4 linked regions of the Oryzias latipes genome follow. The protein of the gene in region 1 purifies or fractionates together with the protein of each later gene. This does not show direct contact. Links are inferred from orthologs where the notes say so. Each region holds a gene or a part of one and is shown on either strand. Other genes may lie near its edges. The genes, in order: polr3f, polr3b, polr2f and polr3gl.

Evidence for each region.
Region 2: the proteins of polr3f (region 1) and polr3b fractionate together in Homo sapiens (co-fractionation; 4 studies listed by BioGRID and IntAct, with this or other methods). This does not show direct contact. The link is inferred for Oryzias latipes from reciprocal best matches to the Homo sapiens genes POLR3F and POLR3B.
Region 3: the proteins of polr3f (region 1) and polr2f purify together in Homo sapiens (affinity purification with mass spectrometry; 4 studies listed by BioGRID and IntAct, with this or other methods). This does not show direct contact. The link is inferred for Oryzias latipes from reciprocal best matches to the Homo sapiens genes POLR3F and POLR2F.
Region 4: the proteins of polr3f (region 1) and polr3gl purify together in Homo sapiens (co-immunoprecipitation; 5 studies listed by BioGRID and IntAct, counting the BioPlex papers as one, with this or other methods). This does not show direct contact. The link is inferred for Oryzias latipes from reciprocal best matches to the Homo sapiens genes POLR3F and POLR3GL.

The regions. Positions count from the first base shown.
Region 1 is NC_019859.2:414,601-418,741, forward strand, and holds the start of polr3f (DNA-directed RNA polymerase III subunit RPC6), read right to left. Parts: upstream 2,838-4,141; 5' UTR 2,741-2,837; coding exon 2,679-2,740; intron 1,807-2,678; coding exon 1,689-1,806; intron 1,614-1,688; coding exon 1,546-1,613; intron 1,482-1,545; coding exon 1,414-1,481; intron 1,347-1,413; coding exon 1,234-1,346; intron 1,158-1,233; coding exon 1,014-1,157; intron 480-1,013; coding exon 372-479; intron 303-371; coding exon 111-302; intron 33-110; coding exon 1-32. UniProt on the Homo sapiens protein: DNA-dependent RNA polymerase catalyzes the transcription of DNA into RNA using the four ribonucleoside triphosphates as substrates.
Region 2 is NC_019864.2:21,473,545-21,477,105, forward strand, and holds part of polr3b (DNA-directed RNA polymerase III subunit RPC2), read left to right. Parts: intron 1-96; coding exon 97-188; intron 189-304; coding exon 305-422; intron 423-1,219; coding exon 1,220-1,328; intron 1,329-2,166; coding exon 2,167-2,289; intron 2,290-3,561. UniProt on the Homo sapiens protein: Catalytic core component of RNA polymerase III (Pol III), a DNA-dependent RNA polymerase which synthesizes small non-coding RNAs using the four ribonucleoside triphosphates as substrates.
Region 3 is NC_019866.2:19,813,463-19,817,751, forward strand, and holds polr2f (DNA-directed RNA polymerases I, II, and III subunit RPABC2), read left to right. Parts: upstream 1-1,462; 5' UTR 1,463-1,597; coding exon 1,598-1,617; intron 1,618-1,758; coding exon 1,759-1,828; intron 1,829-1,938; coding exon 1,939-2,069; intron 2,070-3,435; coding exon 3,436-3,507; intron 3,508-3,593; coding exon 3,594-3,684; 3' UTR 3,685-3,915; downstream 3,916-4,289. UniProt on the Homo sapiens protein: DNA-dependent RNA polymerase catalyzes the transcription of DNA into RNA using the four ribonucleoside triphosphates as substrates.
Region 4 is NC_019874.2:32,576,081-32,580,225, reverse strand, and holds the start of polr3gl (DNA-directed RNA polymerase III subunit RPC7-like), read left to right. Parts: upstream 1-1,333; 5' UTR 1,334-1,492; exon of another isoform or gene 1,493-1,528; intron 1,529-2,471; 5' UTR 2,472-2,514; coding exon 2,515-2,619; intron 2,620-2,870; exon of another isoform or gene 2,871-2,937; coding exon 2,938-3,067; intron 3,068-3,145; coding exon 3,146-3,214; intron 3,215-3,291; coding exon 3,292-3,348; intron 3,349-3,462; coding exon 3,463-3,551; intron 3,552-3,616; coding exon 3,617-3,751; intron 3,752-3,819; coding exon 3,820-3,906; 3' UTR 3,907-4,145. UniProt on the Homo sapiens protein: DNA-dependent RNA polymerase catalyzes the transcription of DNA into RNA using the four ribonucleoside triphosphates as substrates. Specific peripheric component of RNA polymerase III which synthesizes small RNAs, such as 5S rRNA and tRNAs.

The sequences.
Region 1 (4,141 bases):
ATCTCCCCCCCTTCGTGACAGTCGTCAAACACCTGCAGAGAGATTGGGGGGGGGGGGGGGGTGAGTGCCGCAGCCGGAGCGGCAGCAGGGGGCGTCGGAGCGCGGCTTACCGGGCACAGGCCGCAGGGCGTCTTCACCAGGCCCGCCGGCGGCAGCACGGCGTTCACGCCGCGGTACAGCTTCATCTGTCCGTCCACGCTGCCCACCGTCCCCTCCTTGGCGGCGATCACGGTCATCTCCACCTTCCCGTCGTAGATCAGCGTGTTCAGGATGGTCTCGATGTCGTCCATGGACAGGTCCACCTGCACACGGGACACCTGTGAGAACAGCTGCAGCTGTTGGGAGGGGCTGTGAGGTCACGGCGGGGCCACCTTGCTGATGCCCAACTCGCTGATGTACTTCCAGACTTCGTGAGACGTGGCGAAGGAGCTGTTCCTCTGAACCATGGGGCTCTGCTGGCCGCCCCGCGCCGCCTCCGCCTGCACACAGGGGTGAGTGGGGGTGAGGGGTGGGCCCCTCAGCCTGGTGCTACGTTCACACACGTGATGCGCGTTGAAGACCACAGAACCTTTGCTCGCCTACGGCGTTCATTCTGGACTGTGGCTACCCGGCGCCGTCTCCTGCGGTTGGACGACTCGGTGGGAAACGTCCAAATCTGGTGAGTCTTTTGTTCACAGCTCGATTCTGATCCATCATAGACTTGGCGTCGACACAAACCGCAGTTATTACTTTGTCCTTTCTGATCAAGTTTCAGTCGTTGGTACTTCTGCTTTGACGCCATCATACGTCGCAACCAACTCAGAGTCCCTGATTGGTCAAAGTTCAACTGGTTTCACGTTCAATGGCGGCGCTTTTTGTAGAGTTTGGAGGCGGAAGCGTAGACGCGTTCCCGTAGACTTTGGACTCAAAGCGGTCCCTTGAACGCGTTTCCCGGTGTAAACGTAGCTCTACAGCTGACCTCTGACCTTTGTGACCCATTGGTTTGGTGTTCCGTACATTTGGGTTCTCCATACCTTGCTCTGCAGGAACTTGAAGCACTGCTGGTTCAGAACCTCCACGAACTCGGACTCAAAGTCCTGGTCGCTGTACCAGGCCCCTCCGGTGACGGAGCGGTCCGGCTGCACGTTGTACAGCATGTAGACCTTCTTCTTGGACGCCTGCGTGGCAGACGAGCAGAGTTCAGGACTGCCGGCGGCCACAAGCACGTCTGGACCGGCTCGGTTCTGAACTCACGGCCACAGATTTGACGGCTTTGATGAGCTTCTTGCTCTCCAGGTTCTTCAGGATCTTGTTGATCTCGGTCAGAGGGAGGTTGCTCTTGAAGCGGATGTCTCTGCTCCAGATTCCTGCGAACAGAACATCTGGGAGGTTCTGACCCGCGGTACCTTCTGGAAGGAGGCAGACAGAGCTCACCTTTGTTTCCGGCATCCTCGATGATCTGGTAAACCAGCTTCTCCTGGTTGTCCGAGCCCTTCATCTTACTGAAACAGAGGATTGGGGTTCACGGTGGACAGAACCAGAACCTGCAGATGGAACGCTGCTCACCTGGCTGTCTGAGAATCTTTTAATCTGTACAGAAGACCAGAACTGTTCCTGAGCAAGTCCAGCTGGCCCTGGAACAAACACCAGGTTACGTTAGAACCCCTCTGCGCTGAAGAATGGATTGGGTTGTTCAGAACCGGACTAACCAGGGACAGCAGCTTGTTGATGGCCAGGGCCCTCTGCTGCGGCTCCAGGTGAGGCATGTCGTTCTGGATCACCTGGTCTGTGATTCCCTGAGGGAACTGCTGACACAGCTCTCTGATCCTGGAGACACACAGGCGTTCAGAGCTGAAGTTCCTGGATCAGAACCACAAGGTCCAGTCGCTCCAAAGATCAGACATCCCATAATAAACCCTGTGTCAGCTTGGGTCTCATCTCCAGTTGGAACAAAAAGGAACATCTTCAGATGGACCTCTCCAAGACGGAGGTTCTAGTGTTTCTGGTCCGTTCAGAACGTCACGTTGGATCTTCAGAAATGGTCCAAAGACCGCCTGAACTCTAGAATCCGTCTGACCCATCCGCGTGTTCTCTGAACAACATCCAGAACATCCAACAGCTGCAGCGATAGTCCTCGGACCTGGACCTTCAAACCAGGACTCGGATCTAAAACCTTCATACCGGGACTCGGTTCTAAAGTCTGCAGAACTGAACTCGGTTCTAAAGTCTTCAGACCTGGACTCGGATCTAAAACCTTCATACCGGGACTCAGTTCTGAAGTCTTCAGACCTGGATGGACTCGGTTCCTTTAGTCTTTAGACCTGAACTCACGGGACTCGAGTCCGAGTCCAGTTATGAAGACATTAGACCCGAGTGACTCGAGTCTAATGTCTTCAGACCTGCACTCGGTTCTGAAGTCTTCGGAGGTTTACTCAGATCTAAAACCTTCAGAACTGGACTCGGTTCTAAAACCACCTGAGCGTGAGCTGAGTCGGTCTCCCGATTCGAACCTCTGGAACCAGACAAAGTGGTTTCGGTCTTAGAAGCCTGCTGAGGTTCGGTTTAGAGTAGCCTCCGGAACCAGAACCGTTTCTGAACTTAAGACACGCGCGCATGAAACAAGCCAAGGAGCTGCTCGTAGATGAAATGCACGCGCTTCGGTCATGGACCGGCACGCGGCAGAATCGTGAGGTCCGAACCTGGTCTCCACCTCTGCAGGTTCCGCCAGGTTCGTCTCTTTCTTTACCCGAACCTCCGCCATCTCCCCGGTCCGCTGCTGCCGGTGACGCCGCTTCTTCTTCTGGGGGAACCACGGAGACCGGAGCGTTACCGCCCCCCAGCGGCGGGAGAGGCTCGGTCCTGTGTGACGTCATCAGAGCACGTGATGTCCGTTCACGTTTTTTTTTGTTTTTTTTTAATTTTGTTTATTTGAACTTTAAACATACACATAATAACAACATACAAAAAAGAGAGAAAAAGAAAATAAGTAAATAAATAAAACAAAATATATAGAATTATAGTTTACAACACTAGGGATTGTCATACAGCATGTGATCTTCAATGAAAACACACAGTTTTATTGCATTTTTGTTTTTCATCAATGTCAGAGATTTAAAATATAAACTGATTTCTTTAAGAAATGTATTAAATAATGGTTTCGTTTTTACAAATCTGCACTTGTGAATGAAAAATTTCCCAGATATTAATAAGGTATTGAATGTCAAATCAAATAGATTATCACCAGAAACTACTCCAAATAATATAATGTGCTTTTGTAAGTGAATAGAAATAGGAAAGGGAAACTTTGAAGAGCACCAAAAAAAGAAATCCTCCCAAAAACTGTAAACATACATACATTCAAAAAACAAATGATCAAGTGTTTCAATATTTATATCACAAAAAGAACAGTTATTCTCTGGAAAACCTAAACGTATGTGTAACAGTTCTTTGCATGGATAGACTGCATTCATTATTTTAAAATGGATTTCTTTGTATTTTGGGAAAATTGGATATTTAATGAACTGAGACCTCAACTTGCTTATTTCCTCTCTTGTGTAAAGCTGTGACATAGAATGATTTATGTCTAATGTTGGAAACAGGACGGCTCTAACAAATAAAGATCGTATAAATGAGTTTGGAAGTTTTGAATTAACCGGTCGACCATCAAACAACAGAGAGGGAAGCTGAACTTGATCATCATGAACCAGACTGGAGGACATTTGGACCAAAGTCTGAGGCTTTGATCACATTATTATATTATTTTCTATCATTTAATTTAAATTTACTGGAAAAAGTTTCAAATGAGATAATGTTTCCATTGTCATTCATAATATGTATTAATGACCAAATACTGTCATCAATCCAATGTTTGTAAAATATTGATTTGTTCCTACATAAAATATCCCAACAGTTCCATATGGAGTATTGTGTGAACTACAGTTATGTTTGTAGAGGAGTTTCCATACAGTAACAGCTGCTGATGATGAGTAGAAAGTTTAATAGGAAGTTTTCTGTAATCAAAATCACATTTTAGAAGCAACTCAATACCCCCTAGATGAGAAAAGATGTTTGAGGGAATATGAAACCAAATATTTCTCCCATTTTGCAGAAAAGACTTAAGCCAATTTATTTGAATCATACCATCCAAACTTTCAAAGTCTGA
Region 2 (3,561 bases), on another chromosome or scaffold:
CCTCCTTTTTCTTTTTTTGATCATAACTTTAATGAAAGTTGCCACGCAATGAAAAAGTCTGCTTTAGCCTTTTTCTTATTCTATTTTTTATGCCAGGATGCCGATCATGCTGCGAAGCTCCAACTGTGTTCTCACAGGGAAGACGCCCATGGAGTTTTCTAAACTAAATGAGTGTCCTCTGGACCCAGGTTCTCTGCAAAAACACCCCCCCCCTCCCCTGAAACCCTACAAATTGATAACCTGCGCATAACCTAGCAACAGCAGTTCATCACAACCCCGTCAGTTCATTATTCTGTTTTCACAGGAGGTTACTTCATCGTTAAAGGTCAAGAGAAAGTCATCCTGATCCAGGAGCAGCTGTCGAAGAATCGGATCATCGTGGACCAAGACAGGAAGGGGACAGTTGGAGCTTCAGTTACCAGGTACGTCCTTTAGGCATCAACCAGACTTAAAGGAATCTCAATTTTTAGCTTGGGTTTTAAAAAAGTGGATACATTTTGACGTTTACAGCCTGAACTTCAACGTTTTCTCAGTTTTGTGCAACCAATACAAGTTCTATGGAGAAATAAAGAAACATTAAGCAGCCTTTAATGCCTTTCAACTGACATTTGTCAAAGTTTAGGACTGGCAAATAATAACTTGGGCTGAGTACATAATCAATCTTAGTCATCAAAACTCCTTCATATTGAAGACAAATGATCTAGCCTTATTTTATATTTTCTGTTATTAAATGTAATGATCACTTCCTGTGATTGAAGAACATCAACATTCATGGTGGAAAAGAGTTGACTTTGCTGTAGCCTGGCAAACAATACATGTTTTCACGTTTCACGTGATCAATGTTTTTTTGTGCGTTTTAAATGAATAAAATCTGGGTATAAATAATTTAAAAAACATTTATTCTTTAGGGTTTGGCAGTTTGCTTTATTTGACTCCCCTTTGGTTTGTTGAACATACAGTTTTTAAATGTTAATGCAGAATAGTGTATAGGGCAGTTTTAGTGTTTTAACTGCAGGACAGACAGACAGATCTGGTCTTAACCTCTTGATGCTGATTGATGCAAATATGCGTCAAACCACATTGGCTCTAAAATTACCTTAATTTTTTCATCTATTGAATGCAAAAACATAAGTAATTTTTTTCCTTGTTTTGATATAATTTCAGGCAAATGCTATGCAAGCCCTTTGAAAAATGTGTTGTTTTTTTTTTCATTTCACAGCTCCACTCACGAAAAGAAAAGTAGAACTAATATAATTGTGAAGCAAGGACGCTTCTACCTGAGGCATAACACGCTGTCTGAGGACGCTCCCATCGCCATCATCTTTAAGGTAGTTTTCAGAAACTGTTCAGGGTTGGGGGCTACCACCTGAGGCTCCGGAGCCACATGGGGTTCTTTATCCCTCCATTGCGAATTTTTGACTTAAAAAGAAATTAAAAAACAATAGGTTTGTTAGTTAAGTTTTGTCATTTATGTTAAGGTGTTTAAGCCGAGGTGTTCTTTTGCTGCTTATTGTAAATATTTCAAAGCTACATTTTTATAAATTACCAGCTAAATGGCCACACAAATAGAAAAAGTATATTCTATTTGGTGAGGTGGAACTCTGCAGCTCTCATGGGGTTTTGGTCAGTAAGAAACTGGACCAAATGGCTCTTTTAGTATCAAGGTTGCAGGCCCCCTGGTTTAGGGACTCCTAATGCACAGCAGGGGGAGCTATAACCCAAATAGAGGACGACAGAAGAGCATCGGAATATTCTTGTCCTTTGCAATACAAAGATGCATAATATTGAAAGACTCACTCTAGAATGAAGAAAAGTTGTAGTATAACAGATTTCTTTCTCACATCGTTCTTTGCTCAGAGTTAAACATCTGCAGCTTCATTTCTGTGACTTTCTCTCACCTCTCCTTCTCTTTGGTTGCGAGCATGAATCCACAGTGGGGCAGACCCATCAGTTCCCACAGCTTCACATTTACATAAGCAAATGTCAGATCGCTTTAGTTTCTGCAGTTCACTTCTCCCTCTTTGTCAACACATTTGACTTCCATGCTCCTCAGGGTGTGTCCACTCTTCTGCTCTGTGTAAATTTGCGTAGATTTTTATGTAGTGACCCAAATTCTACCAATCTGTGTCTCCCTGCTCACACTCTGCTGTCTGTTTGCATGGTTAGGGTATGGGTGTAGAGAGTGACCAGGAGATTGTGCAGATGATTGGCACAGAGGAGCACGTCATGGCCAACTTCGCCCCAAGCCTGGAGGAGTGTCAGAAAGCCCAGATCTTCACGCAGACTCAGGTACATCAGATCCGAACCAGATGAGGCTAAAATCTGACTCACAAACCTGAGGTTACCTCAGACTCACGTTGGATCTACAACACTAACATCATCAGAGCTCCACTATTTTTATTTTTATTTATTTTTTTAATTTGTCCTGCTGGGCAAACGGATGAGAGCTGAAGGCCTCTTGTGTTGGATTTATTTTACTTTAACAATAGGGGTTTTAGACAAACCAGAGGTATGTCTGAATAACCTCTTTTGTAATCGAGACCAAACTTTATCCATTTTAATCATTGAAATCTTTTGTGTTGGACCAGACGGAAAAAGGAAAGGAGGGAAGAAGAGAGAGGGATGTTATGGGGGGGGGGGGGGGGGTGATTATAGAAGCGGGGGGAGACCATGAAGCAGCATAAAGCAACAAGTTTCTGGATGGTTGTAATCATTACGGTGAGGTTCACATGTAATACAGGTCTATAAGGGCGGGGCCTGTCCACACACACACTCAAATGTTATAAACACACCTGTTGGCTCCAAAATAATGTTCACATGTCAACATGTACACAATACAGATAATGTTCACACACGCATACTTATGCATTCAAACCAACTAGTGTGAAATATTTAATTCAGTCACGCAAACTAAGTGAGCTAATACCTGTGCTCCAGTGAGTGTTTATGTTCTTCTAAAATGAATGATGGAATGTAAAAAGAAGGAAGGAGAGTGCCATCCCCACACCAAGACCCCCGCCGCAGCAGCCGCGGCAGCCAGAACCCCCCCAACACCCGCATGGCAGCAGATAGAGAACAACCGCCCCTCTGGTACCTGGTACCCCCTACCAGGGATGGGGTAGGGTGGGACCTTGGACAGATGTGTTCTAAGGGGGTGCAGTTAAAATTGGCGGGTAGGGCACTGAGAGGACATCTCCTGATTACTCACAGTGATGTCCAATCCCCCTCTCCACCAAGGGGCACTATATTTCATTCAGACCATTGCCTGTATAGGAGAACCAGACTGAGTAACCCCTCCCCCTTACATTCCAAACAGGAAGTAGAAGCCAAAATCCCATAGACTTCTATAGAGAAAAAAACAGCTATTACTCAGACATTCTGTTAGTCAGAATAAGCATTCTTGATCTTTTACATGTTCTAGTTAATTCTATTTTCCCCCCCATGATATTCTTTTTTTCATCGCAAGTTATTCAAGTTATAGACCGGCCAAACAGATGCCTCAAACACATGGTGCCCACTGGCCCTCACTGTGAACATGTTAAACATTTGACTGACAGATTC
Region 3 (4,289 bases), on another chromosome or scaffold:
GAGCTCTCGTCTGTTTGGCACATTCTGTTCAAATTGTTTACAAAGTCCAGCAAGAGAAAAACGGAGTACTTTGAAATAGAAACCAATTCCTACTGATGTTATTTTTTTACCACTTTTTTAAAACCCTGTTTTAAGAAAAATATTTTTCCAAACCTGCATCACTAGAAAATGCTTAAAGTTGTTGTCCTACAGATTTCTTCTGAGACAAAATCAGCCATGCAGATTCCTGCACTATCTTTTGCTATATTTACTTTTTAGTTTTTTTTAGTAATTTGGTTAAAGGGGTTCATCAGAAAATGTATAGAAAACTGTGAAAGAGAGCAATTTTACAAGTGACATTTTTTTAAAAGGTTGTGACAAGAATCTCCTGTCAAATGTTCACTTTTATTGTAAATTATTGCAACTTGTTGTTTACTAAATTAACAAAGAATCAATTGCATATTTCATAGTTGGGCTATATTTGAAAAAAAAAAGTTTATGTGTAACCAACAAACAGGATTAATTTTGTTGTTAAAAACGTGAACATTTCTTCCTTTTTGTGTTTAGAAATTCTTACCCATCCACTGCTATATTTATAAAATAGGTAATGAAGAATTGTTTTAAAAGAAATCTCTTTTGTATAGACACATTTTATTAAATAAGTGAAGAATCTAAATGGATCTGTTCTTTGACAAAGTGCCAGCTGTTTGAGCTTAACCCTAGCAAAAAGTTGACGCTTTTATTTTTTTAAGTTTGCTTGAATATAAGTATAAAGCAAGTACGCTGTACTAAAGACCATGTTCATGTAGTGTAGAGATGAAGTATACTAACAGAATATTTCTTGAGACTGGAAATTGGAAATTTTAAGTTTACAATATCTAGATTTTATCTTGACATTATATTTTAAAAAAATAAACGTCAAGTATACTGCCTCACATTTATAAGTATACTTGTAGTACACTTAAATAGACTACTTCTTGCAATGAGTATTCTTACATAAGACAGGAAAGCACTTGCAAAAACATTTTTATGTTGTTTATTGTGAATATCTTTTCATTTGATCACGTAGGAAAATATATTAGATGAAGAGTAAAAAAAACAGAATCCAGCCTTAGCTCTGAATGTTTTTTCGCATTCGGTTGACCCAATTCTGTTCTTTAACTTTGCACTAAGTGACATGCCATTGTTACTCGTTTTCTATAAATGCAGGGCAAAAAATTAAGAATTATTAGTATTCATTTTCTCTCAAGGGTACATTAAAATAAATGTTGAAAACTATCATTTTGGTGTCTTCTTTTTCTCTAAAGGTACAGCCTTGGTTTTCCATAGTTTGATGGATTTATATTTATTTCTAGTTGAAGTTTATTTTGTTTAGGATACTTGACTATAATAGAAAGTAAGCTTTTTATATACTATTTGTTTGCTTGTTTTTAAATTGAATTAGAAAAAGGTAGGACAAAAAAAGAAATTCTAGTTGAGAAGCCGGACATAATTTTTCAGCGTACACGCGCACCGGAAGTTTAGAGACCACAACGCTCAATGTGGTTTAGCCTCTAAATTAAATTTGCTGCTAATAAACTCTATTAGTATCTATATTGGAAAAAATATAAGTTAAAACATGTCTGATAACGAAGACAAGTAAGTTGTGATCTATGTTCATCAAATAATGTCATGGTATATGTTAATTTTAAATCTATTTTAGCGTGTAGCCTGTTAGCTAAGCTAGGTTACGACTTCACCGTTTTCGGTCTTTGATACAGTTTTTGTCAACATTTGCAGCTTTGATGATGGAGACTTTGAGGACGCCGATGAGGACGAAGGATTAGACGATCTGGAAAACGTGGAAGATGTATGTTCGTCTGCACTTTTTTCATTTAGTGGATCATATTTGGGGTTCATTATTCATGATTTCTATCTGGCAGTCTAATCAGATGCTTGTTTTCCTTGGATGATCATCAGGAGGACCAGGAGAACGTACAGATCCTCCCCGCAGGAGAGGGGCAGCAGGCTAACCAGAAAAGGATTACAACACCGCACATGACCAAATATGAGAGAGCGAGAGTGCTGGGAACACGAGCCCTCCAAATAGCGTGAGTTGTTTACTGTAAAATAAGCGCTTTACTCTTCTAAACCAATAAGTTAGGCTTCCAAACATTTGTGGCTTTGTTGTTCTTCTTATTTTATTTTGCTAATTTGTCGTGTGGAGCAGCTGATCAAACAGATGAGAGCTGAAGGCCCCTGGTGTTGGACAGATTGTAATGTTACCATAGGAGTTTTGAAGCTTTGGGCAGAGGAGGTTTATGTCACTACAAACCTTTTTGTATTGAGGCTTAACTTTATTTTATTAATATTTGTGCTTATTGAACTATGCTGCATGTACCCCATCTTTGCCCCAAAACAGCTAGGATAGGCTCCTTCAGACCCTGATCTACAATAGGCCGGTTTTAGAAAAATGATGGACTTGTGTCCATTCCTTTTTGGACCGGAGAAAACGGAGAAGGATAGTGGGATATTAGGGATGGGGGGGACAAGATAGAAAAGGACATATAGAAGTTGGAGAGTCACCAAAGAAACACACCATTGCAAACAAAAAGAGACAAAACGTTGCTAGAGGTTATTTATAACTTTCACAATTAGATGTTTATGTTTATCGCACACACTGAATATTATAAACATTCCTGTTGCCCTCAAAAACCTTCACTCTTGCATATTGTCATGTACACAACACAGATAGAGATCAGATAAATATGCACCTTCATTTGCATAAAAGCAGATACAATCTCATACAAAAGTCCTTTTCTGAGCCAAGGTGAGTGGGCATTGGTGCTTAGTTTTTTTGTCTGTGTTCTACTGTGGACAATGATGGTATGAAGCGTAATGAATAAAAAAAAGGGGGGGAGCACCTGGTCGTCCCACACCAAGCCCCCCAGAATGAGGTGAGGCAGTAGCGGCAGCCAGGACCACCACAGCCAGGAGGGAATCCACCACCCCAGTGACCCGATACCAGCCATCCATACCAGAGGAGGGACTGCCGAAATAGTCCCCAGCACCAAAGAGCAAGGAGTCACAGGAGCATGGAGAATGCACGCCCTGGCCCAGCTAGAGAAAAGCCCCCCAGCTGTGCTATGGGCCCATCACGAGGTCCCAACTGGTTGCTGCAGATCACGTGTTTCAGGGACAAACAAAAAAATCTTTGCATCTCATTTTGTCAAAATGACACTGAATTACATTTCTCAGTTTTGCAGCTTTGAAGGCAGGTTCTGGGTTTGAACCTGGTTGTTGACATCTCTGTGTTTTTGTGTTTGGGCCGTTTAAGGACACACTGGTTTGAAAAGTGTGTGTGTGAATGAACAGTCCATGAATCCTCTGCCCCGCCTGTTTTCTGGCTTTAAAATAATGACATTTTACTTCAATTTGGGATTTATTTTGAGGATTTTGTCGTTGTTCTGCCGACAGCATGTGCGCTCCTGTGATGGTCGAGTTGGAGGGAGAAACAGACCCCTTGCAGATCGCCATGAAGGAACTAAAGTACATCAGATTATTCCATTTCTGTCTAAATTCTTTCATCTTGTTTTGTTCCTGGTAACTCAATGTTTGCCGTTTGTTCTGAACAGGAGCAGAAAGATCCCCATCATCATCCGCAGGTACCTCCCCGACGGCAGCTACGAGGACTGGGGCTGTGATGAGCTCATCATTACCGACTAAACAAACCTGGACTTTCAGCTGAACTTCAGAGCTTCGATGATACCAAACAGAAGCAGCAAATGCAGTCATTTTAAAACCTGCTTTGCAAGCATGAGCCAGTAGGGGGAGACATAACTTTGTTTAAACACATTTTTTTAACAAACTGAACTTTTGTTGTAAGTATTCCAAGTGTTGATTTTGATCAGAGATCATCTGTTTTATTGTTATAAATAAAGTCTTTTTTTATGATAATTTCACGGTTTCTGACTGTTATTATTAAAGTTTTAATGTCAGCATGAGTCATAGTCAGGGAAAAAATGGTCAGTTTTGGTCATTTAAAAAAAGAACCAAATCAGTTGATTAAACTTCAAGAATCATGTGGTGTTTGATTGATGCAGCTTTGATGTCAGCGGGTCTTTATTTTCCTTGAGGCTACAGCCCTTGTGGATTTGGTGAAGCCGTCAGAAAACAGACGGAGGCTCTCTCTGAGTTTATCCACGGAACCATGTGAATGAAGCAGCTCAACAGGTCGGCATTGTTCAAAGGGAGTGTTTGCCCTGGCAGAGAGACGCGCGGCGCTGGAGGAAAAACCAGTGCTCAGGGGAGAAGGGCTTGTTCTTGAGTTT
Region 4 (4,145 bases), on another chromosome or scaffold:
CCATCTTTCTTTCGGTCATTTCTTTGTGAAGTACCGGGTGCCATGTCGCCGACCCCTGCTGAACTACGATTGGGATGTCGTGACAGGGCGTCCACATTCTGCCAGAACGATACTTTATCTCATAATCATCATGGCCCATTTAAGAGCCAAGAACTCCAGCTTCATAGAGCTGCAGTTCTGCATGTTACGCTCTGTAGCTTTTAGCCCCCTACTGGCATGGCAATGGCCGCACACTGCCACCCTGCTCCTGGGACAAAACTGCACCAAGGCCATTGTGGCTGGCATCTACTTCCAGAATAAAGGGTAGTGTGAAGTCAGCACAGGCCAAAACTGGCGCTGACGTCAATTTCTGCTCACAGCACCAAGATTCCTGTGGCAGTATGGTTTCCCCTTGGATGCCTCCAGTAGAAGACTTAAAATGAAGAGCACAGGACTCTCCGACAGGAAACCAAGACTGTGCTTTTAAGAAAATAGACACCCTTTATTACAAATAGTATTAAAATTCCTATTCTGAAAGACACCCAAAAGAGTTAACCAAACCACAAGGGCCATCATGCCCAGCCCACACAGTCAGCTGCACCCAGCCGTGCGCTCTGTTGCGGCACAACAGGCTCAATGCCACGCCCCTTGCGTACAGTGGCAGTAACCGACGCCAGTCCAGGGTGGTGGGACACTGGGCTCTGGTTGTGCCCGGGGCCACAGAAGGCCGGAAGGGGGAACCCGCTCCGATAGCTCTCGATCCGGCTTCATCACGCCGCTCCCCAGTGCGTGGATGGACGGCACTCGCTGAAACGGTGTACAGAGCACACACGATCCCCGGAAATCCCGGCCGTGGCACCGCTCCTGGACAACGGTGCACCAAGGGGTCAGCGGGTTGGATAGAGCAGAAATGCAAACAAACGATGGGAAACAAAAGAAACAGCGGCACCTGCCCCCCAGCTCAGGAGGACTCTCCACAGGAGTCGCATGAGCGGCCAAACACTGCCTGCGATCCAGCTATGGTTATGGTTATGGTTATGGTTATGGCCCCACACACAGCCAAAGGCTGTTGTAAACTTAGTTCATAAATGTTAAATGAGCTGTGATGGTAGCATGCTGCTGCTGTTCTGCTGCTGCTGTTCTGCTGCTACTTCTGCTCCAATAAAACATGTCAGTTGACATGGACAGAGTGACTCTATGGGGGGGGGGGCGGGGGGGTCTCGCGCGGGGAGTAATTCAGGGTAGAACCGCCACTGCTATCGACCATAAATGTAGCTGGATTTCTGTCCTCCTGTCCGATAGGGGGCAGAAACGCGCGGCCCAACGCAGAATGCAAGCGCGCGCAAACTGCCGTAGGACATTTCCGGTGGGTAGTAGGCGGGGCGCCTGTAAAGCGAGGTCCGGGGACGGTAAACAACCGTTCGTGGTGGAGTTTGTGAAAGTCTGAACCGAACATGGAGCGCGCCGCGGGAGCGCGCACTAAGCTGCAGCCGTAACGGAAAAGCGGGAACAGGTCAGAGGAGTCATACCCGACCGAGCGCGAGCCCAGGTCAGAAGGGAGCCCGCAGGGTTCTGATGGAGCTTCACGATCAGCCTGATCGATGAGGCTGATGACGTCAGCCGAAGCCCCTGAATCAAAAACCAAAACATTTTCCTCGTTTCTCTGAAAGCAGCTCAGAACCACAGCGACCAGAGAGGCGTGACGTCATCAGGAAGCAGGGGTTCAAACGTGGGTTCTTAGGCCCCACATGCTGCAGTGTCGTCAGTGACATCATCACATACGTCATCAGGGCTGGAATGGTTCCCTGTCGAGACGGATCCGATTCCTAGTCCATATCTAGTCAATGCAGAATTCAGTCGCCGTTTTAACGCCGCCGCCAGTGATTGGTCCGAGTTGGTCTGAGTCATCGTTTCTATAGCAACCACACTGACCAACCAGGAGTGAGCTTGTTGAAAGGCCACACCCACTTGAAAGCAGGTTACAGAAATCAGTCAAACTTGGGGTTAGGGTCAGCAGGCTCCACCCACTTTCATTGAGGCGTCTGATTGGTCAGTTTATACCTTGAACTACAGAAATGAAATGAAAAATGAGGATTATCAGGAAGAGGTTCTAAAGAATCAGATCCAGAGCGGTTCCTCTGACCCATAGAACGACTGAGGAACAGCCGTTTGTAGATGTCTACGGGATTTTCCTGTTTGGAACGCTAGGGGGCGGGGCCACTCGGTCCAGTTCCCACATGCAGTCACTGGTTTATTCCCGTTTTTTCCTCTGGAAATGCCTGTATACTGCCACCTGCTGGAACAGACGCTACATGACATCAGGTTCTGAGGGGATGGAAGGAACAACCGAAAACGATCAAACACACCTGAAAGGCCTTGATGCGCTTCCCTCTGACCTGAAAAGGGGGAGTGGTCATTGGGCTGTGTGACAGGGGCGGGGCTTACCCCGTGGACGTATCCTGATTTACAGTGGGGTCCTGTTGTGTCTTTAGGGCGGTTCTGGCTCGGTCCGGTTTTGTCTGAGGGGGACCAGCCATGGCGGGACGAGGGCGGGGCCGTAGGCCTTTCGGCACGGACTCGAGCATCAGCAGGGGAGAAGGTCTCCCCCCAGGACTTCAGCAGCCCACGCCTGTGTTTCCTGTAAGCCCCGCCCACACCAGGAAAACCCCTCATTTATATTTAAGTGTTATTCTTTTTGGTTGAATGAAATCCCTCTGTTGTTGTTTTCATTGTTTGTTAAAGCTGTTCATGTCATTCTGAACCTTGTGGGTTATTATGGGATGTCACTGACGTCTACGTTAGGCAGACATTTATCGTCTCGACGTGAACCGTAACAAACAACAGATGCAGGAAAGAGGAGCTCTGACATTTTTCTGCTCTGACACCAACAGTTGGGGTAATGCGCTGATTTTGAAGCACTGAATTCTGGGATTTGAAGTTGGTGGATTTGGTGTCCAGGTGATGGAGCAGAAGCCCCTCCCCCTGGCAGGTGGAGAAGAAGCAGAGTATCTATTGGCCCTGAAGCAGGATTTTAGAGGAGTGATGAAGAATCTGCCATTCTTCATCAAGCCAGCAGCAGCACAGCGAGGTCACACACGTGCACACACACACGCGCGCACACACACACGCAGTCTTATTTTGAAAGTCCTGCTTTCTTCCTGTGCAGATGTTCAGCGCTACTCGGACAAATATCACAGCAGCGAGCAGACGAACAGCCTCACGGACTGGAACCTGGGTGAGACGCCGTTACCACGGTAACATCCAATGAAAACGCCATCAGAACCTTCATGTCTGCACGTCTCTGGATTTCAGACTGGAGACGATTCCCCAGAGAGCTGCAGGTCCACATCAGGAGGAGAGTCAGAGAAGGCGAGTAATCCCATTACTCAGTACTCTGGGTACCTTACTGACTCGTCTGAACAGTATTCATCAGCAGTAATCAGATTACTCAGGGGGGTGAGCATCAGCTGCTGTCTCCCTCAGGTCTGGCCTTCAGCACCATGGATAGTTCTGTGCCAGTCCAGAAGAAGAAGAAGAAGAAGGAGGAAGAGGAGGTGCTGCTCAAACTGGAGGTGAAGGGTTTCTATAGAACCTCTGATGATGATGATGATGATGATGATGATGGCTTTAATGGAAGTGTCTGCAGACCCTGGAGAAGAAGGAGGAGCATGAGCAGAGCTCAGAGGAGGAGGAGGGAGGGGTGAAGAAGAAGCCGGAGGAGGAGGAGGGAGCAGAGGCAGAGGAGGAGTATGATGAGGAAGAACTGGAGGAGGTACGTGGTCAGCAGGCCTGGGTCAGAACCACGGAGGCTCTGCAGGTCTAACTGGACCCTCTGTGCAGGAAACCGACTACATCATGTCGTACTTCGACAACGGCGAGGAATTCGGCGGCGACAGCGACGACAACATGGACGAGGCCATTTACTGAGCAGCTGCTGCACGTGCACGCCACGTGCACGCGTGTGACTGAAGAGGCAGTCCAACCTGGTGTCACCTGCTGCTCCAATAAACAGACGGTCACGTGACCTCGTGTGTCGACCTGCAGCCAACAGTCTGACGTTTGATCCTTTCGGGCCGTACCATACTTCACCACCAGGGGGGGCCGACGTCCCACCTACTGTTGGCGCTGGAGCTTCTGCTTCCAGGAGGTGACGTCAGCCTGAAAGC